Linked DNA regions of Caenorhabditis elegans. The protein of the gene in region 3 interacts with the protein of the main gene of each other region in a pairwise test. Each region holds a gene or a part of one and is shown on either strand. Other genes may lie near its edges.

The links.
Region 1: the proteins of mxl-3 (region 3) and mls-2 interact in a two-hybrid assay, tested with the Caenorhabditis elegans proteins (one large-scale study listed by BioGRID).
Region 2: the proteins of mxl-3 (region 3) and med-2 interact in a two-hybrid assay, tested with the Caenorhabditis elegans proteins (one large-scale study listed by BioGRID).

Annotation. Positions count from the first base shown.
Region 1 is NC_003284.9:4,756,514-4,765,364, forward strand, and holds mls-2 (Homeobox protein mls-2), read right to left. Parts: upstream 5,128-8,851; 5' UTR 5,100-5,127; coding exon 4,912-5,099; intron 4,856-4,911; coding exon 4,620-4,855; intron 4,382-4,619; exon of another isoform or gene 4,183-4,381; intron 3,307-4,182; coding exon 3,184-3,306; intron 3,131-3,183; coding exon 3,042-3,130; intron 2,996-3,041; coding exon 2,769-2,995; intron 2,723-2,768; coding exon 2,560-2,722; 3' UTR 2,291-2,559; downstream 1-2,290. UniProt on the Caenorhabditis elegans protein: Transcription factor that binds to the promoter of target genes. Regulates fate specification and/or differentiation of multiple cell types arising from the embryonic mesodermal (M) lineage and the ABp(l/r)paa precursors.
Region 2 is NC_003281.10:6,880,594-6,887,317, reverse strand, and holds med-2 (GATA-type domain-containing protein), read right to left. Parts: upstream 2,816-6,724; coding exon 2,291-2,815; downstream 1-2,290. Other genes in the region: brd-1 (BRCA1-associated RING domain protein 1), read left to right, coding at 1-140, 193-290, 333-448, 1,401-1,560, 1,610-1,670, 1,720-1,862, 1,942-2,043; K04C2.7 (Polyprenol reductase), read right to left, coding at 3,635-3,811, 3,994-4,106, 4,331-4,421, 4,480-4,581, 4,908-5,063.
Region 3 is NC_003284.9:13,347,482-13,354,456, forward strand, and holds mxl-3 (Protein mxl-3), read right to left. Parts: upstream 3,324-6,975; 5' UTR 3,310-3,323; coding exon 3,217-3,309; intron 3,166-3,216; coding exon 2,892-3,165; intron 2,840-2,891; coding exon 2,695-2,839; intron 2,640-2,694; coding exon 2,444-2,639; 3' UTR 2,158-2,443; downstream 1-2,157. Other genes in the region: ptr-24 (SSD domain-containing protein), read left to right, coding at 191-382. UniProt on the Caenorhabditis elegans protein: Transcription factor which regulates the expression of genes involved in lipid metabolism in response to nutrient availability. Binds to the E-box motif 5'-CACGTG-3'.

The DNA.
Region 1 (8,851 bases), 8.6 Mb from region 3:
CTTTCAACAGATTGATCATTTCCATATTTGAATTTAGAAAAACGTTACGATTTTTTTGACGTATTTTAATATACTTCGGCTATCAATTTGCCAAAAATTGTTTTGACAATAGTCGATTCCTTTCCATACTCAAAATGTTTATAACAACATTAAATTTGTTCAGCTTTATTTCTAATATCACCCAATTTTTTTCAACTAAGCTGTCTGTTTCAACCCGTCCTTCAACAGCTGCATTTTTTGTCCAGTTACAAGATGTTTTCTTTTCCACTACCAGTGTTACCACCGCTTGCTACAAACGGCAAAAAATTTGAAAACTGACTAGAACGCGAATTGGTACCAACACATAAGGTCAGCAAACAAAAACCCTCGCCACTACGCCATGTCCCTTTCGTAACTCCGCCCATGTCGCATATAAAAGACGGTTCAAACTGAACACTAGCACACTAGTTGTCTACAAATTACCAGCTATTTTCCAAGTAGAGAAAAGTTTCTAATTACCCATCATGCACAAATGTGGTGACTAGAGCCTATTCTCTTCTTGGAAAAGTGGCGACTCTTGTCAAAAGTATTATCTGATATTCGAGCACGATGACCCCGTCCAATGGACGATATCACAGCAATCACAATGAGAAGAATACATCTAGATACTCTTTTCATTGGTTTCTGTGAAATCGTATTTGAATGGAAAGTTTTATATTGAAGAGTTAGGAACACACACACACCCAATTCAAAACAACACCTGTGAATATGGTGGTGCGCCAAAGGAAATTTGTGGCGGTTGTTTGCCATCGCACGCTTCAAATTTGTCGAAACGATGGAGTGGTGAACTTAAAAAAAACGGAAATCTTAAACCGCCAAAATCAAAGGAAAAAAGTGCACGGAAGTTCCGAAGCCTTATCACAAAAATTTATCACATGAAATTATACCAAACAGTCAAAATTTTCACCTTCACGAGTGTTTTCATCAGTGTTTCAGTTGCTTGCCATGTAGTTAATCATGTAGTTACTTTGAGATTCTTTGTAGTTTTTTTTTTAATTTTTAGATTTGTTTCTATAACACATCACGTTTTGATCATAAGCGTTTAATGAAAAATTTGTTAGGAAGATAAAACTGGAGTGATAAAATAACTGCCAAGTTTTAATTGTGTCTTTCTATTGAACATGTAACAAAATAGGAACGTTCACATTTTCGCTGTCACTAGTGAGGACAAAAGTTTTTTATAAAATTTTTACCTAGTTCCAACTATTTGATGTTTCAATTTTTCTTCTACCCGTTTATACATTTAGCTTTTTGTTACCTCGAAATGTCTGTTTGCTTTGTCTTCAAACACTTCTGATTTTACTTTTTTCTTACTTTGATCACTGATCAAAAAAGATATTTCTTGCACGCCAACAGAGTCAGGAGAGAAATTCAAATTTCTGTCGGCACGACAAAGGTCGCGGTTCCCATGAATCATTAGAACACGAATGACCTCAAACTCTTCTATCTGTGCAATGAAATAGTTTTAACATGATGTCATGATAAAAAGTACTTTTTTGAAAGCGGAAAGTTGGTCGGCCCTATCAAAGATGAGATAGAGGATGAAACGATCTGTAAAAAAGCAGCTGTAGATAAAAGTACTGAACATGTATGTGTGTATTGTGAAGTACAATGACTACGACTAAAGAACTTAGAATTCCAACTTACAAGATGCGCTTTAAAATTATCAATCCGAATAAAAAGCGTTGCAACAAAATTTCAGAAATCAGCAAGTGTCGAAGGAATTTTTTTCGTAATTTTTGAAATTTCTAGAAATTTTTTTTGGAGTTCTTCAAAACAGTTCTTCAAAAATTTCTCGAGCGTTTTTGTACTGTTTAAGACAGAGATTTCTAATACTTTTGACTCTCCAATATTATTTCAAAGCATAACAACTTACTTTTTTCAAAGTTGCCTACTGAACACCTACACTACACTACCCTAATTCATTCTACTAATTTTAACCATTAACCTTTCAAAACACAACAAAAACTCTTTAAAAAAACAGATACTACATACAAAGGAGACAAACTATTATTTTATATCCAAGTAATACAATTCAAATTTTTGGAAATTTTGTAAGTTTTCGTTCTTCAAGCAGAATAAAAGTTTTCTGATATTTCTGCAGTTGATGGAATTTGAACATTTGTTTTGAAATTTCATCTTAAATATTAGTATATGTATGTATGTGAAAAGAGTAGCTTTGCTACCATCATAATCTGTTGGAAAATGGTCTTTTACACATCAAAAAGTTTCTATCATTTTTGTATTGTATGTATTCATAATGTAAATTTATTACTCAATAAATAATTATTTAGTGAAAGAGAAAGGATTGATGAACTGAATTATCATGTGCTCGAAGATAGTTTATAAAATACACAGAATGACACATAATAAACATATAGGGTATGAAAAATAAAATATATACGAAGGGCGATGAATCAAAAATCAAGTGTGAAGAGATAGAGTCAGTGATGAGATGAAAAATGTGTTGAGGTTGAGTTGAATTGCACAGGGGGTGAGTCTAAATTAGTAATAAGGTGTTCACATGTTCTGCGCTTGAGCCGACGCATTCAAGTTTTGCTGTGCCTGAAGTGTACCAAAACCGAAAAGAAACCGCGCGGCGGCAGTTGCAGAAGCATCCATTGGAGATGAAATCATATTTCTCATGTTCACACCAGCACTGGTCGTTGGGATCGTAAGGATTCTGAAATATAAAATTTAGAATTAATTTCATGAAACAGTAAACTCACGGAGATGTAAGAGCTGTGGTTGCTGGAATCGAAAACACATTAGCTCTATGCATCTGCAGGGAAATGTTCGTGTCATCAGTCTGAGCTTGTCTCTTGAACTTGTTTCGTCGATTTTGGAACCAAATTTTCACTTGGGTCTCCGTCAAGTGCAGCTTCTGTGCTAAATTTGATCTCTCTTGACTGCTCAAATATCTTTTGCATTCGAACATCATTTCCAATTGGGACACCTGAATGAAAGTATTATTTGAGTTCGGAATGTACAATTTCTGATACCTGACTCCTGCTGAAGACGGTTCTGGTTTTCTTCTTTCTATTTTGTGATGGATCGCTAGAGTTGGCTTCATCATCGCTTCCACGGCCAACTGAAATACAGTTTATGGACACTTTTGTGGACACATTTTTAAATTCAACTCACTATCATCGTCATCTTCTGCGTCAGACTCCAGCGGGCTGCCACCAGTGGAATCCCTGGTCTCCCCATCTTTTCCCTCCGATTTTTCATCCTTCTCTTCTCCATTGTCTGATTGAATATTAACATCTGTAAGGAAACACATTTTCAACAATTACTTAATTCCTGACAGGCATATTAACCATATTGCATTAAGATACTTCCATTGACAGGCCACAATTATAACACATCCCCCCGTGGTCCATCGGTTAATTATCTCAATGGACGGGGGATTACTAGGACACGGGTGTCGGTCAAAATGACACCTTTATAAATAGATGTCTCTATATTAAGAACTACCTTTAGTTTTCAATACTGATTCTTCGTTGACTAATTAGAATCTCTTAAAAACCGAAGTGTAGCCGCTTACGTTACGAATATTGACGACTAAAAATGTGCGCTCATGCGTATGCCTGATTTTTCATGCGAAATGGAAAAGGCTCATTAGAATAAGAGATTTCTATTGCTGTTTTGATCATTTCACATGTTATCAAAAACAAATCAGTGGCAAAACCACATGTATCAACAGAGTCAGCGTAATAAAACAGCGTGATGATGTTATTTTACAATACGCTGATTTGCTTTGCCAAATCAACTGAGCGGAAAACTTAATGGCTTAAAGTTGGACCTGTGAGGGGAAATAATTAATCAGCATTTTTGTAATGTTAAAATGGCTTAATATCAAAATAAAACTGTTTTTAAAAAAATTTTGAGCCAAAAATTAGGTAAAAGCGGACTATGAGTTTTCAATGTTCTTTGACTAAAAATAAATTTTATTTAAAACATTTTTGAAATGTTTTAGTATGACATTTGGTAATTCCCTACAGGCCACATTTCATTATTAAAAACTTTGAATCTGAAAAAAAAAGTTGTTTCTCTATAATTTTTAATTGAATGTATTTATTTTTAGAATCAAAATAAAAGTCAAGGACCTGACACGCGTCACCGAGCTCATGGGGTTTAGTATTCTCACGTTATTAACTTATTGCTGTTTGAGCACATCCTTTCAAGAATCAATGAATACCGCGTGTGGTGTTACCCAACAAAAGATAATTAGTTGAGTTCAACACAGGCGAGCGATTCTGATTCTTATCCTAAGAAAGGAACTGCATCCGCCGACAACCTCCCCCCTCCTTTTTCCATATGTTCATCCAATACCGTTGTTCAACTTGTTAATGAGTCCAGACTTGGCTAATTCGAGACCATACAATAACAATGGGTCAGAAAATGAATTAGTTACTGTATTAAGGGGTGTTCTGAGATTCGGAGAATAAAGAGAACCGACCGAAAATTATAGTGGTAAACGGAACACTGTTTTGAATGAAATGAAATATGGTAGGATTCTTTCACACATTAACTAATGACAGACTAAGGAGAGAGGAAGTTGGGTAATATCTACTGACCTGGGTTGCTCATGTTTTTGAAGTGCATTAGTTGAGCAGTCGGAAGTCCAAAGAATGGGAACATGGTAAGTGGTGAGATCATGTTTTGTTGATTGCCGACGTTCAAGAAAGTTTGCTGAAGTTGCAGGAGGGCAGAAATCGGATTCATTTTTGGATCAAAATTGAAATTAAACGCCGTTTGCTCAATTTCATTGGTGCTATCCTCTGAAGATGCCGACGGGGAACTTTGTGTAGTTCTGAAAGTTTAATTTTATACAAATAAAAGGAAAATAAATGAAAATGTTCAACTTACGGTTTTCTGTCATCTTCCAGCAACTCAGAAATATTGAATTTAATCTTATTATCTGAACTTGGCTTCATCTCTTCTTCCTCTTCTTCCTCCATCAGTTCAATCTTTGGAAGTTGTGACATTTTTTCGAGACGTTCTTGCGAGCTCATTGTCGTCATATCAATAGGGAGATTCATAACTGAAGTCGGCATGTTTGAGAAAAATAGAGTCAACTGAGGGCTAATCGAGAATACTAATGAGTAGCCCCGCCCCACCATTCAAGACTACGGTAGCTGGGCGAGCGTTCGCGGATAAATGGGGTGTAGGAAATGGGAAGGAGAGGAGTAATAATGAAATGATGACCAAGTCAAATTATTGTCTTTGGTAGTGTTAAGAAAACGGATATCAAAACTATATAAACAATGGTTGACCAATAGGAAAACGACTATGAATACAGTTGAGAGAAGTTTAGCAGAATCTGAGGATCTCGAAGAACTCCCTGCTTGCTTTTCCGCTAATGTGTTAAGTGATCAAGCAAAACAGAGATGTTTCTAGGCAATACGCCCTGTCCAACTTAATGTCTAATTCGTTTAAGTGGATTACTATGTTTGGTTAACACCATTAATCACAACAATTAACCGTTTTTTTTCCGCTGAGCGACTCTATCAATTGTTTCAAAATTGATGATCAATTGATTTTGTAATGTAGGTTCAATGTATATTCCAACGAGAATGCCAAAAAGCTAATCAGTTATGCTTTAAGCAAAACATTATTAATTTAAATATGAAATTCGAGATGTTAGTGGATCGTTGTTGCTATGCGAACGCACGGGTCAAGCAGCAGCTTATCCGCGGTTAGTGTCGAATTCGGAGTGCAAAAGGTAATAATGAGGAATGATGGAAACAGGAGAGATATCTAATATAGGCTCGATGAGCAAAACACTCAGGATCATTGTTCACTTGAAATGTGTTCGAATACCGTAACTCCTTGAATAGTACTGTACCACACTATTTGAAACGTTATATCTGTGTTCAGTATCAAAGATAAGAAACTACAAACCGCTAAAAAAAATTGACAAGTACTTTGTTCGTGTTAAGCTGGTAAAGATGGAAACTGGGTTGAAATCCTAATAGGGAAAATACGGTAAATGGTTTGATATTTTGATGTACAGGAAGTTGAAAAGAGTACTGCCAATATTGTGATGACATCTTTTAAACTACTTTTTTCCATACTTTCCAAAAAAATCATTTTTGGCTGAAAAAAGAACACTCGTATTACTGTTAATTTTCAGAATGGGGGTTTAATTTACAAATGAAAATTTTAGACGAGATTTCTGATACCTTAGAGAACCCATGCAAAACTGAGGGAAAAGAGATGAATCAAGAGTCGATGGAAGTGAATCGGAAACTATCACATGAAGTCTTATGAAGCTTGAAAAAAAGTTCGAAGCAAACAAGTAATCACGAAATGTGTTTTTTTTCCTGATTAACCCTTGAGAGTCCAATGACGAACATTTGAAAAAAAAATCAAGTTTTAGTTTTGATCAAACGCAAAATAAAACGAGTTGAGGTGAGCACAGCCGTATTGAATGAACGTCCACAGCTCCACCCACTTCCATGATATACGGTAATTGGGACCCAAGACGCTTACCCGCCCGCTCTCATGTGTTTGTGTGCGCGCTCGTTTGGTTTCAAATAGGGAGGGGGGAGAAAATAATTCAACACAATCTCATTAAAACCGGTAATAGTAAAATAAGGCGACGACGTATTTGTACAGAATAATATGGTCGAGGAAAAACATGCACACACGTAATGGCTGATAGTAGTGGCGTTCATAGAAATGAGCTGAAAATGAGCAGAAATGAAATGAAAGATGAGGATGAGAATGAGAAAATGGAATTGATATTTTCCACATTATTTCCCATTATTCTCTTAGAGGTTTTGTTATGTAAAACATCACAAAATGGATTTAATACGACGACTCACAACGTTCTCAAGCCAATGTGCAACACTGTAGAAGGTGTGAAATGTTGGTGTCTGTTGCTCACATCTAAGGAAAACGACACCGGAAGTGTTTGTCTAACAAATTTGTCCATTAGCGCAATCTGCCTTGTTTTAGTACCTATCGCTATAGTCATACGATACAGAATAATGGAATAAGTGACCTGTTGGTAATGTTGGGGCCAGATTGCGCAAAAACAACCGTTTTGGGAAACATTTCTTTACATCCGGTTTGCAATAGACACCTGCTAAATTGTAAGGTGCGAATGACCCGGAGGAGGAAATTCAAACTTGCTTCTGATGGGAAAATGTTGTGCTCTTCCCGACAGCCGTAAATCAATAATGGTTTGGTTCGCAACACACAAGTCTAAAGGAAGCGTGGAATTTATGAGTTTAAAAGTGAATCAAAGAGAAAGAACCGATGATGCGATTCAAAAATCTGCAATAATTTCAAATAGTGTGAAGGAGTCTTAGCTAGTGAATTATCGAATAAAAATACTTCTAATGTACAATCTTAAAACCTTGAAAATTAGGAAACGTTTTGGATCTTTGCGTAGTTCTACTTAAAATAACCCAAAAAGTCCAAATTTCAAAACGAGCCTTTTCGAAAAACTGCTCACGTTTTTTTGTATTGAATGCCAACAGCTAACCAAAATAGGGAATTTAGTCACTTTTGGTTACCTAAAACACAGAAAAAAAGCAAAGTTAATTATAAATTAAATAGAATCTGAAAAAAACCGCTGAAACACTAGGAAAATTATAAAAAATTGGTTGAGCCATTTAATGATTTATGCAACTTTTTATGAAACGTCTCGTACTGAAATTTGATAATTGTATTCCATTTTGAACATATGTTTTTCTTCTAAGATTAAGAATTTATACAATTTAAACAAAAAACTATGTTTTTTTCTATTAGTATTGCATGCAAAACGTTTTTGTTGGACTAATTTCGAGTGCAATAGTAATAGAGAATACGGCCAGTAGCTGTCTATACCAGCAGGAATCAAACTTATTTGAAGACGTCTCAATTCTATTTTAAAACTTTTTTTTCAGAGAGTACATTTTCTGCAAGACGGCCTTTGGCACAAGTCAAATGTGAACTCAAACGTGTTAATAAAAATCAAAGAACACCGATCACTCGGTGTGTAAATTATTCACCGACGGGAGGTGTCAACGAGTGTTGTGCTGCTAAAGGTTTCGAGATACAATCTCTAAGTAAAAAAAACAAAGCACGTGGTAATGTGGTCTGAGATACAGCTGTGGTCGGTTTCGCCTTTCGATGTATTTTATATGGAAACAATGAAGCATATACTAATTAATTAGGGGTCTGTGTAAGTGTGGTATGTGATATGAGCGAAAAATATTGAAACATGGATTTTAAGTTTACTCAAATCATTTTCTGATTTTTTTTAAATTTAATAATAATAATAAAATATGTATGGGCATGTTCAGTTTTAAAAACTGTTCTCCTTTTGTTTCCTGGTATATGTCTCATATTGTGCAGTTGTAGTCGGTTTGGACTAACATGCTTATATTAATTCATTGTGACTTTACAAGTCAACAGTTTGAAAAGCGTCATCTTTGCAGCTCAATTACTTAAAAGGGTCGTGTTATTGGAATGAGATGTGTGTGGATGGTGTCTGCATGCGCATACTGGATAAACGTCAAATTAGCAATATGGTTAACAATAATGGACTAAGAAAGACGTATATATTCTTCTCTTCAAACATCCCACATTTTCGTTGATGAGCACTGGTAGGTTAAAGGGGATAGAGTCACATAGTTGACAGTCACCGTTTTCTCGTTACCTAGAGTGCTAATCCCTGGCAACCGGAACGAGTGTGAAAGGTACAATAACATACTGTACGGATTAAACTGACATTGGGGGGCAATTATAAGATATGGTTACGTAAAATATCACGACAATCTCTGAAACTGGACACGACAATTAGGATTTATTCTGT
Region 2 (6,724 bases), on a different chromosome or scaffold from region 3:
TGAATATCTTTTATCGAAAGGTGCCAGCATCAAAATTCGAAATATTGCTGGAAAAACTGTCGAAGAAATGGCTAAAAGTGATCCGAAAATTAGGAAAATAATCGAAAAATTCAAGACTGAACAGAGAGTTTTACAGCCTGGTAAGAAATTTTTTGACAATTTTATTCTTCGTGATAAAAATTGAATTTTCAGTCGTCGCCCCTCCAAAATCTCGTCTTCATTTCGTTCAACTCATAGATGAGAAGATGCTCACTGAATCTGAAAAACGAAAACTTCCCGGAAAAATCAATGTAAAAACAATTAATTTTTAAAAATAAAATAAATTTATTCAGATAGTTCCTGCTGATATGGATTCTCCGACGCATGTGGTAGTCACCGTTGATTTGAAAACTCGTGTGCTCAATATTAACAAGGAGCATATTGGAGAAATTTTAAAAGCTATCATAAAGTAGGTTTTTAAAATTATCCTAAAAAGTGGGAGATAGTCATTTTGGGATTTTTAATGTCAGAAAATAGACCGTAATGACAGACTATAGCTGTTAAGAAATTAATTTTTTCGAAATTTTTCAAAAAATGGGCTACTTATTTTTAAATTCTCGCGCAAATAAATGGAAGGCATTTGTTCGTAAGAAAACGCATGATAATCAGAAAGAAATTCGCTGAAACTTCAAAATTGAATTGAAAGTCGATAATTTCACATTTATTCATCTTTTTTTTTGCTTAAAAAATTTATGAAAATCTGACAATCTTCGGAACATCAAGCAAAAATCACGAAAAGCGTTCGAATTTAGCCATTCATTTGCACGAGAGTTCAAAACTAATCAGAACTTATTATTTTTCCAAAGCTGAAATAATTTTTTAACAGTTATATTCGGTAATTATGGTCTATTTTCTATCATTCCTTCAAATCAGGTCGCAATGCATTACATATTTATTGGAGATAAAAAGATAATTAGGCACGAACACAGGCTCCTGCCACACATTTTTTTCCAACTGGACAGTCAAAAGTACAAGGTTCATCAGCATTTTCGTCAGTGATAACAACTCCACCACTTGCATGATTTGAAAAAAGACATTGTCCATAAACACAAAGCCTATTATCCGAGCAATCCGAATCAGTTCGACATTCTGCTTTCTTTGCATTAACATAAATTGAAAGAAGAAGAAGAAGGAAACACTGCAAAATTAGTTTTGAATATTAGCAAAAGTAGTATATAACTCACCAGAAACACCTTCATTTCAGTTTCACAGTGGCTCGATTGTATTATAAAATGCGTTTCCCTGTCTAGTTATAGACTGATCCCATGGGAAAATTGCAAACAATCGCAAGGGTGCAGTATGAGAGCCAAAAAAATCTATGTGAAAATATGAAATTTCAAAGCGGAAATTCATACTTTCAGATCGGGAATGATAGTTAGTCGAGATTGGCTGAGAGCGTGCATTATTGATCCATCGAAAGTCGATGATGATCGTTCTTATATGGTTCAGAAAGTTAGATGGATGGAAGGTGAAGTATTTGAAAATACTATTGAACAATGGAAGAAGACAATCACTAAAATGGTACGGATTTGATTTCCACTAAAGAAAAAAATACAACCAAATTTTTCAGCAACCAAAATTGTTCGCCGGTTGCAAATTTTTCATTCCAAAGCCAAAGTATAACTTCCTCGGTACGATTCTAATTTACAGTATTTTAATTTTTTCAATTTTCAATTTCAGATCGCCCAGCTCTTTTTGAAATTATTCGATCTGCCGGTGGTCAAGCTGCAGCGAGGGAGCCCATTATTGACGAAAAAGATCCACCGCCGTACCATAATGCCAACTTGAAACCAAACTTTGTGCTCTACAGCTTGACACATGATGTAAGTTTAACGAAGGAGTTTTCCTGTTATTATGGATTCGGTAGTTTCAGTTTGGTGACATTTTTATTTCTCTTTACAGATAGGAGACAAATTCCGCGACTGCACAAAGTACAATCTTGTCAGCGAGCAGTGGTTAATAGAGGCGATTCTTGGATGCTCCATCACAACACCACCACATTAACCATTTTCCGTTTTAAAATATTTTCTTTTGCGTTTCTATTGTAAAATTGCAATATGAATGATTATTTTTTGAAGTGTTATTTTATACACAACGGCATCCAATCCATGCAATTAAAGTTATGATGTAATTAAAATCGAGAACAAGATATAAATATAAGTTATGAGATCATATTAATTAAAAACAATTTACCGGCTTAAAACAAGAAAATTACAATTGAGTTATACAATTTACAATGATACAATTTACATTAAGAAGAATCTACACCATTCGTTTCCTGTACCTTTAATTTTCTTTTTTGATATTTGTTAACGGCAGTGACTGGACGAGTCTCATTATATTTCCGTTGATAAATAAAACAAGCATTACATTGAATTCCTTCCTTTGATCGAATATTCCTCCAACGAATTGTTTCAGTTACTGAACAATTTGAGCATTGAAATGACTTCTTATTATCAGAATTGCTCGGTGGAGTTGAACTTTGAGTAGAGGTAGATGGAGATGTAGATGGAGTAGAAAAATGAGTAAACGTGGTGAAATGGGAAGAATTAGGACTTCCAGTAGTTGGTGAAATATTTAAAGATGAAGAATCCATTGCAGTTGGATAATAAGAAGCATAAGTATTGACATAGTCATAGTAGTTATTATAATAAGAATAGTCAGTAGTGAAGGAGTATGTACCATTGAATGGAGTTGAATAATCATAGAATCCAACTTGTTGCTGGGTATTGTCAAAGACATTTTCAGCATTGAAAACTGGGTACGGATAAGCCATAGTGATAGAGAGAAGGAATAAAGTATGAATACTGACTCAAACTGATATTCTTTGGGCTCTTTTACTGTAGACCACACCCACTAGAAATGATGATAATGCTCTAAAAATCATCATGATGACAGAGGTGCAAGGTGGTCCTTCTTTACCTATTATCAGATAATGTAGGTGAAGATGGGCTCATTGTGCAATAGGTGGAGATGTTAACATTTCTCTAGGAAAGCAGGTGAAATCAGGACATGTTTCAGCCAACGTCTACAATATAAACCTTTTATGTATTTGTTTTCGGGCGGAACACAGCATGGCTTTTACTCGGAGAAAAGGAATCATATCAACGTGCCTCAAGTGTTGCGTGATTACTTGGAAATTGAGAATTGAATGGATAAATAAATTTTCCAAAACAATTTTGTATATGAATGAAGTGCTAAGGTTTTTTTAAAATTAAATTGCGTAAATGTTTTCAAGAGGGCCTACGCCTGCTTCATACCTACAGCAAGACTAAATTTGTTCGTTGTCATAATGAGATTTTTATAATCATCTAAAATGCTCTTCGAATTTGGGAATATTAGTGAATTCTAACAGTTTTACGTACTTTGGCATGTTTATTTTCTCACACTAACAAAAGTTTTATACAAGTATAAAAATATGATATAACAACTAAACAAATTTTTATTCGATGCAGAGAACATAGTTCAGATGAAGCAGAGGTGGAACACAGTAACCGTTTTTATACAAATATTTTTTGTCCCAGAGATTATGAAAATGAAGGGGGCTTTTCGTTGACAATTGAGTTTGAAACAAAACAAAAAGTTGAAATAAAATCTACACCCAAAAGGGAATCACATGTTTTCCTGTTCTACCAATATATTGAAATTCTTCATACCAATAGTAGTGCCAGAGGATGTAGTCAAAGAAATGATTGATTGATGTTCCAACGGCAAAATATAAAATCATCAGGTTCAGGTGAGCATTAACAGGATGGAACAGGGCAACCAGGAGCTGAAATATTTTAAGATTGCTCAGACTCCAGAATTTGAACTTTCCACCTAAAGGTAGTTCTGATATTTATCTAATAGATCAAAGAGTCTAACGAGACTTTTAAACAATTTTGATCATGAAAAAAACGACGACTTTCTTCCAGTTTTAATGCCCTGCTAGAAGACATAAACTGGAAACCTTACCTTATCTGCCGTTGCTATTGTTAAAATTACTAATCCAAAACAATACGCATTTTGAATTATTAACATCGGCCATAACAGTAAAGGATGTGGTTTTGGTATACATAGTGTTGTCCCTGTAAACGTGAAGGTTCAGTTAAAAATTTTGGAAAGGCTGTGATCGATAAACTATGGCATAGGAATAGGACCGTTTCTTAGCAGTGCCGGGCAACGACTAATTGAAAGAATCTATATCGGGAACTTTGGAAGTAGGCACGAGGCAAGCCTAGGTCGCCCAGTAGGTAAGAAAGTAGGCAAGTTCATTGACACTCTATGTTACTCTTCCCCTTGGAGCACTTACATATTGTTAAGGTCAATGCAATCATTTGAGTGAAACACCATAGACACCGCATATAGCCACCGTCTAAATAGTTTGCTATACATTCTTGGACCTGAAAATACTTGTTTGGAGAACCATCCAACAAAAAATGAACGAAATGTTCAGCTTACATTAATTAATTCGTGGAAAAGACCAAAGTCGAAAATAATCACGTCATGAGATAGAAAATGACCGGTATTGGAACGAGTTTCGTTGAATGAGCAATAGAATATCTGAATTAATGTAAACGATCAAGTCGGAATGTTTTTCAAGATTTTCGTTCTAGGAAACAAATGTACAAATGTATTTTGAAATTAATATGTCTACCCGGTAAAACAAAAAAGCAGGAGATCAGGGCTGGAATGTATGGGGTAGGTACAGAAGCTCTTTAGTTTGCTAAGCTTGTTTAGAGTCATAGAATGATTTTAGATTCTTCGGAAACTTATTTTAAAGTGTTTTTTGTTTTTCTTTCTTTTTTAAAATCTGATTTAAAAAATCCCCAAAAGATTTATAGGTAACGTGTGAAGTCATTCATCTTCCATCTACTGTTCCAACCAACCTTATTAAAAAGAGCAACTGAGTAAATGTGTTGAGCAAATGATACAGAAGCCACTACTAATTGAACCAGAGCAAAGAATGTGACCAGTTTTCGATTTCGAAATTGTATTCCAAACAGGAAAGTCTTCTCGTCTTCTACGTGAAACCATCGTAACATTTCTGATATATCACTGAAAATGATAGAGAATTTTACAACAAAAAGAAGAAAAGAAATTTCAGAGCAAATGGTGTCACACAGTGACAATGTAACAAAAAATGAGAAACATAAAAAATAGAATCACATGATATTAAAATTACACGCATAACTAGCTGCAATGCGTTGGCGAAGTGTACCAATTGCAGCTTATTTTCAACATTTCCTTACTTTTTCTCTTCTCAACGGAAATTCAAAAAATTTCCGGTAAGCTGGTGATAGTGGGGGAGATTTGACATTCGGATTAACACTTTTTTCATCATTTTTCGCATGATTTATCATCAAAGGGACATGACAGGATTACAGCTATCAGAATAGGATTTGTGTTGAAAAGAAGAAAAAAGGGGATTTGCAACAAGCTTTTTGAACAAATCTGAATGTTAGCATTGATGTCATCAGAGCATTGGTAAGATGTATCGAACGGAAACAAAATATTATGAATATGTGTTGAAGGCTTTTTAAACATCTTAAAATAATTTCTAATCAGTATTCCAAGGGAAAAATTTGGGAAAATATTTACAGGTGAAAAAAAGAGTCTATTGAACTTGCCGCTATGTTTCAATCCGATAACTGCTTACACAGCAAAATATCCGTGTTAAGTAGAGTTCGTGCATAGTATTATTGTAGGCATCAGATTACCTGCCCGCGTTTCTCGTGCCTAAACTACATGAAGCTGACGCCAAAACTCAGAAAATAGGCGGTAGGCAGGCGAAGGTAGTAAGTGTATGACTAACATAAAATTGTAGTCTATACAAAAATATGATAGAAGGTACAATCGGTATAACGGAATCGTATGATAAAAAGAGAAATTACTTCACTCTGGCAGACCATATTTATTTTGAAAATTCTGGAAATTACTCACTATCAGCTACAGAACCATCAAGGAACTAAAATACTTTTTCACCAAATAATTTTTGATAAAAGCATAGTCATAAGGTACCGGAGCAGTTAATGAAGTGCCTAATGATTATTTTATATCTATTTATTCATTCTTTTTTCCTTCACTTCACTGCTTTGTTGTAGTTGCATCATTATGATTGTTGCCTGATGAATAAATATAAAAATAAATAAATAAATAAGATTAAAGAAGAGTAATACAGGAGCTACACTAATGAGCAACAAGAAAATATATGTGCAGAAATCACCTTGGGATTTCAATATATATCACTACTTTTTACGTCACATACACTTTTGTTTTCAACCTATCTCGTTACCTATGACGACACGTATTCAGAAAATACTCTTCGAAATATTCACTCTGACAAAATTGTAGAATTACCGAAATCTATATCTTTGACCTAATCAGTTCAAAAACTAATATTTATAAAAAATAGGAAAACTAAATGAAATCCAATAAACTTTTCAATATAACGAGAACATGACGGAATAATCAATCAAGTTAAAACTCAATTTCTAGATATTAGTTTGATTCTGTGAAAATAGTAGAAGAGGGACTGGAAATCGATTTGCAAAAGAAAAAAATAATAAGGACAAGAAAACAAAAAGTTCAGAAGATTGAATTTTAATTTCGTATGTGTTTTTGTATGAGATTTGAAAAATTGTGGAAAATCACTTGAAGCGTTACTTTTTCACATTTTCCAGTGTAGGTTTGAAATTAAAATTTT
Region 3 (6,975 bases):
AATCATGTCTGCTGAACTTAGTGACTTGGTTAGCCAAAGTGTGATGTTTCACTGTGAATGTTACATCACTGAAACACAAATTTGATGGAACTTATTGAAAACTGTTAACACGTAAAAAAACAGAAAAGTAGCAACAAGTTCACCAATCTCTTCATAATTTTTCAAGTCCTAAAAATTGTAATTTTTGCAGAGTGTCATATGCTCTATTGCGGTCTTCGTGCCGACTATGTTCTGCCATATAAACATCTTCGAATCAGTGGCTTTCACCAACAACGTGTTTTGTCTGTTGGGTATTGTCATCGCATTCTTCGTGCAAGTCATGCTCAACATGCTCCCCGACATGTTCACGGGTACCCATTGGTTTTGTTCCCCTCAATCTTAATTAATTTCTTCCTTAGTGTTTCATTGTAAACTTTTATTCCAAAAAATATCTGTAAGCTAAATGTCACCACATCTCATTTTCAACCATTCCTGTCACTTTTTTATCGACATTCTACGGTTTCTAGACCTTAATCTTTTCCAAATTGTGCCAAAACTTTGTTCTCTTCGGCGAAGAAGGGAAATTTTGTGGTATTTGTTTCGCATGTATTGTATTTGTTCGGATAATTTCAGTTATTAAATAAATTTTGTTTGAATTATAAAAAGCGTAACTGAATCATTTATTGTAGAAGTAACTGTGAAACTTATGCAGTTAACAACTTTTGACGTTTTTTTTTTTAACAATTGTCAATTCTTAGCAAACCCTGTTAATTTTAGGAATTGACAAAATGTCCATCTGCCAAAAATGTCTTATTGCCGCGCACCCTGGGAAAGATGCTAAAGTTTTTGATTCTCCCCGAACAATTCGGTCCTCATAAAACGTAAATTTTATATAATTTCTCAGAAGGCTTTTTTTCTTGAAAATAAGAACAACTGCAAAACTTGATAAATCTGTATCACAACATATTCGTCATATTTCATTGACAAACTCCCAGCGATCTTCGATATTCCTCCTTGAAGGTTCAATGTTGAGTTGTTCAGTGAACTGTCCTCGTTCTCTCAAGTGTGTTTTGAATTGAAACAACTATTTTTCCGTTGGCTTACGATGCGATTCTCGCATTTGATATTTTGAACCAATCATATCATCAAGTCATTTGATGACACGTGTGATGATATGCCTCGCATATTGTTTTACGAAATGGCCTCAGAGAACACACATTATAAAGAAAGAAAAGTGGAATAGAGCGGTTTTTTTTGGATACGTGATGAAATATGATTTGACTACAACAAAACGTTAGAGCACTGTACCGTGTACTTTTTGAGTTGATATCATGTTTTAGAGCATGCTTGTTTAGAATTGCAGGAGCAAAGTGCAATAAACGACCTATTTCAAAACAGCAAACCTATTCCAAAGATTTTTGGCTTTCAATGTAGTGCTATGTGTATTCAGATTTTTTTAGATCTACCAGGGGTGTGCGGCAAAAATGAAAATTTGCCGAGCTCTTTTTTCTAGTATATGCCAAACTCGGCAAATTCGGCAAATTTGCCGGAAAAGCTCGAAAAAATGTGATAATTTTTGATATTGTATGGGGCACCAAAAATGGTGAATTCTAAGCATACTTTTGATTTTTTCACAAGATCCGTGTGGTCTATCTGCGTACAAGTCTTGCTTACATGTTACTTAACTAGAAGTTTTGGAGCAAAATCAATGGTTCCGGTCAAATTATGTTAGTCGAATTTGTGATGTGTGTGGCAAATTTCAAAGTTTACCGATCTCGGCAGATTTGGCAAACCCACTTTTTGGAAATTTCTCTTGCTGGGCAATTTCGGCAAATTTGTCGCAGATCTCTGTTATGTATAATGGAAAATAGTTACTCTAATTTGTAAGTGGTAAAAAGCATTGTTTTCATCATTTCAATTCTATAAAAATGACCACTACTAAAATCCAAATCTTTTCCCCATGCAAAAGTCCAGAGGAATAGACATAAATATTTTTTCTGTAAAAATCCTTAAAGTATACGACTACTGACGCGTATATTGACCATTAAATAAAGTTGACAAGAAAAGTAACAACCTGTTTACTTTGCAGCAAAGAACTACGGTAGCTGAAAGACTTTCTATTGGGTGCCTTTATAAATTTTAATTTTTTGCAATGTGTTTTACTGGTGTTGAAAAAATGTTGATATAAATATTTATTATCAGTATTTATTATCGGCATTATCAATAAATAAGATATCATAACTGGAACAAATCAGTGAGTAAAAAAAACTGAAATAATATATTGTCAGATCAAGCAGGCAATTCTTAAAGTACACGTGAAACCCATGTATGTCCGGAGAAACCGAATGGATGTTTGGAATGTCCGAAGAAGGGTTCATGACGACCGAGTAAATGAGATCAAAAAATATTAGAGAATTCGAAGGGTGGGGGTATCTAAGAAATAAAAAAGCCTTTTTGAAGGTTTTTAGATTTTCACTGCCATTTGTTGATCAACCGGAGAAAATGCACAAGGATAAAAGCCAGAAGGTGGAGTACCAGGTGCAGAATCCAAAAGCGATGGGCTCACGCTTTGAAAGCTTCCGAGTAAAGCCAAGATGGCATCATTGTTAAGAGCAATAAGCCCATCTAATTGAGCTGGGTTTGTGGATTGAGCAATTATACTGAAAATACTTAATTGTTAAAATCAGATTCGGAACAATTTATTTGTTTACTTACTTTGCTTGTTGTGGGTATTGAGACAGCTGTGCAATGTTTTGCATCTGTGGGATAATTGGCATGGTGAGCTGCATTTGGCTTGAGCTAACAGCAAGAGCTGGAAGCCGAGAGGAAGATGGAGAACCGGAAGACTCGCGTTCGAGCACTGAAAATTAGAAATTGAGCTCATGAATCCACTAGATATCCATGTAACTTACGCCTTTCCTCAAGAAGCTCGTTTTTCCTTGTGAGATCTTCAATGGCTTTTCCTTGACTACTGAGCTTAGTTTGCATGACATGGATGAACTCAACTGCTCGTTTCAGGATCAGGGCTCGCGACGATTTCTCCCCATCAAGCAGTGGAATGGCATCCTTAAGAATGGTGAAGTGATCTTTGATATGGTCACGTCTTCTGCGTTCAAGTTCGTTGTGATGTGCACGACGGTCATCATCCATGGATGGAGAAGCCGACTTCGGGCTTGAAGAATCGTCCTGGAAAAAGAACAATTAGTAAAATAAGGGTACAACAGAAGTTTAACTTACATCGGAAGAATCCGAGTGATGGCGTTTGCGGAATTGTTTTTCCATTTTCATGGATGAAGAAAGCAAGTACATGTCTTCAACGATTGCGGACATGGTAGAGATGTTGACTGTAAATTTAATATATATAGCAATGAAATATCAATTTTAAGAGAAGGTTATATAAGAATACTGTAAGTGAAAATTATCACAAACAAAAACAAATACACAATTAAACAAAAAATATGTAAAAGAGCCATGCGACCATCTTCGAGGGTGTCGTTAACTGTGGTATGATCTGCAATGCGAGAAGGAAGATATAGGAAAAGGGGCGTTCTGTCTGACAGAAAGGGAGGAGTCGACGCGCCGCCTCCAACACGCGGTCAGCGTGTGTTCTTTGCACCTCAGCCACTGTGGGTGCTAGGGTGCCCGGAGAAGTGGCGCTCTTTGATATAAGCTCTGTAGCTCCGCCCATGTTTTGGAGCAGAAGGTTATAGCCTTCCCCCATTTTGTCAACCGATCACTGAAATCATGTGAATCTTGCGGGGATCTCGTAAGGGTAGCATGCGTTTGTGGGAAGGATCAAGATGAAGCATTCCTTGAGAGGGTACAAGGAACAAATGTTTTGGAAGAAATTCTGAGGATGTCAGCAAAGAAGCAATTTGATTGGGAGAAGCACAAATATGGCAACACGGGGATGTCAAAAAGTGCAAACACTCAAAGAATGCGTAGCTCAATTTTAATTTCGATGGTGACGGTCGGGTGCAACGCATCCTCTCATTCACATGCGCCTTCACGTGCCGTGTTCATTTCTTGACGACAAAAAATACCCGAAACTTTGTTTCCTTGGCTGCCTTGACTTAGTGTGCGTGCATCGTGATGTGTGCAACGCACAAAGACCTCTGATAACATTGAGTGAGCTCAAAATGTAGGTCAAATTACTTCCGAATGATGTATGGTGGTGTCAACAGTACCGTACACCTCTAGGAGTGAACAGACTCAGGCAAAAAACTTTGCAAACAAACAACTTGGTGTACTATGACCCCAAACTTGTTAGTTACTTTTGTTTTTTTTTCTTTCAGCAGTGTGTGGCCTAGGGGACTGTAGCTAAACGTTGTAAACAAATTAAACATGTGTTGTTGTTTTACAGAAAAAAATTTGAGTCAAAAGGCAAACTTCCTCTAAAATAAAAATGTATTAACGGCCAACATATATTCGAATTCCTTGTAGTCGTTGACTTTCAACCAAAAATAAATTCGTTCCTACAAAAAATCGCAGATTATCATACTAAGAAAGAAGAACATCAAAATATATGTTTCACTACAATTATAACAACAGATCATTTCAAATTTTCGCCCTACATAACGCTACATAACTCTGTAAGACTTGGAGTAATGTCAGATTCAATTCTTTAATAACTAAATTTTTAAAACTTTTTTGCAGTTTTAAAATCTCTTTTTTCACTGTCAATAGTCATGGTGGTGGTATGATAATTTTTTCCACATTTTCTAGCACATAGGTCTACTGAAAATGTATTTCATTTCTCTGGAATGATATTTTTAGACATCGAACGTTTGGGTTTTTCAGTTTAATTGCTCTATCACGTAGGTCATGCGACGCTCACTTAATGAACCCTGAATTGATTTTGATTTTAGACGACTGCGATAGAAATGTGATCGTACTTTGGGCTAACGTAGGGGGTGAATATGATTTCGCGCCAAGAACGATCAGATTTCACAATTCGGATGTTGTACAGTATCTACAGAATTTAGTGATATGGACTTTGATTGGAAATTTCAATAATATTATAGTTCAAATGAACTAGGGTCATTTGCACAAAGCGAGGGTGGGTGTCTTGCTCGTGCAAAAAATTAAAAGAAAAAAGCACGCTGACGATAAGCTTTACAAAATCCTTTGCTAATCTGTTGAAAATCACAACTATATATCAATAATCCGAAAAACAGCGTGGTGGCGGCTTGTTCGATCAAGTGTGTTATCTAAACGTTAACCACTAATCTCTCTGGATCAACTCAGATTTCTTCGAGGGAGTAGCTCTGGAAAGATAAAACCGCCGTGCTGTACATTACCAGGAATTTGGGAAAAAGATTTCAAATAGAGCTGGGTTTTCTTTTAGAAATCCTTGTTTTTCTTTGTTTTTTTTTCTTGAATCGAGAGAATGAATCAAATCTAAAATGAATGTAATCGGGTAAACACGGAATAAAAAATACAAAAGTTTAATATTTGAATATACCTTGGATTAACCACATTTAGGTTTCGTGAAACCGGCATTTAACCGCTACAATCAAGCAAAACCATTGCTAATTATGCATTGTACCACAAGTTAATCAAATACACATATGGATACTCTTAGTTTTGCCACCATTTGCAATTTCAGTACTGCTACTCTAGATACAGATATTTTATGGCAAAGCTCGTGAATGATTATAAATATTTTATTTTATAGTGCGGATGAATCAATCTTGACTGGATTTTTGAATTGTGTCTAAACCATGTGATTCTAATTGTTTCAATGCAATCTGAAAACTTATTTATTAAAGGCTATGAATCAAAGATTTGTTTTTTCGCCAAACTTTAGAGCGCAAAGAAATTGCATTTTTATACCAATTAAGTTAATATATTAATCTATTTGAAAGTGGTTTTCTAAGCTTTTCTTAATTTTTAAGCCAACTTATCCCCTATTTGGCAGTCATCTGATTGCTTGGAATTTACACTAATCCACACCCTCAACAGATTAAATGAGGGTGGATGTAAAATTCATTCTCTTTCAATTTCGATCCCAACGTGATCAAAGAGCATATATTGGTCCAGTTGTTTCGTTGATCCCCGAATACACCTTGACTTGCTACGTCGATTCTACTACTTTCCTGCTTCTGATCAGTGCACATTAGTGAAAATAGAGTATCTTTTAAGAAACGTACAGTTGACATTTCTCCGCATGATCAACACTTCACGTGCGGTACGCGTGTTCATCGAAAAATCACAAAACACTCAGCAATGAACCCAATTGAAAGAGGAGAGTGAATTGAAAGGAAGAGATGAAACTCGTATAACTAATTCGAGTGAACAGAGAACAATTCGCGATCGGTCCTCCTCGTTGCGACGTGAGTAAGTGTGACTACATTGTGTATCAACGCGGTAGTGGCAAATAGAAAGAGCGCGCCTATATCGTAGTCGCTCAAGAGACTGACGGGGTCAAAATGATTTGCACCTGTGGGGAAGCATGACTGATTATTAATATTATGAGAAATTATCTTTTAAAATGTCTATGTCAAAAAGAAAGTGCATGAAATTCAATCTTAGCTTTAAAAATTGTGTATAATATGCTAACACAATGTGGAAAAACACGGTTACAACTTTATTTGAATGAAAAAATTTCATAAATTAAACATTCACTCTCCACGATTTGCTATCAGTAGCCTTCGTAATTAGTTGAGGTCCCTAAAAAATATGATTAAAACAAATATGTTGATGGAATTGTCTAGCCGGTTTTGCAGTCAATAATCAACTGTATTCAGAATTATGTTTTTCCCTACTTGTTTCAACTGATTCATCATAGTGCAATTGGATATTGGGGGCCGTGCTAATAAAAATAATTCAACGGGTATATTTCAATGTTGTTGTAGCCTGGATAGTAAAAATTTTATAGACAAAATTTGATAATCTCTAAAAATTAGAAAAAAAAAACATTTTTGCAGTTTTACTGTAATTTACTGTAAATTGTAGTTTTCATTTGGGAAACGTCAATAAAGATAATTTAGTACT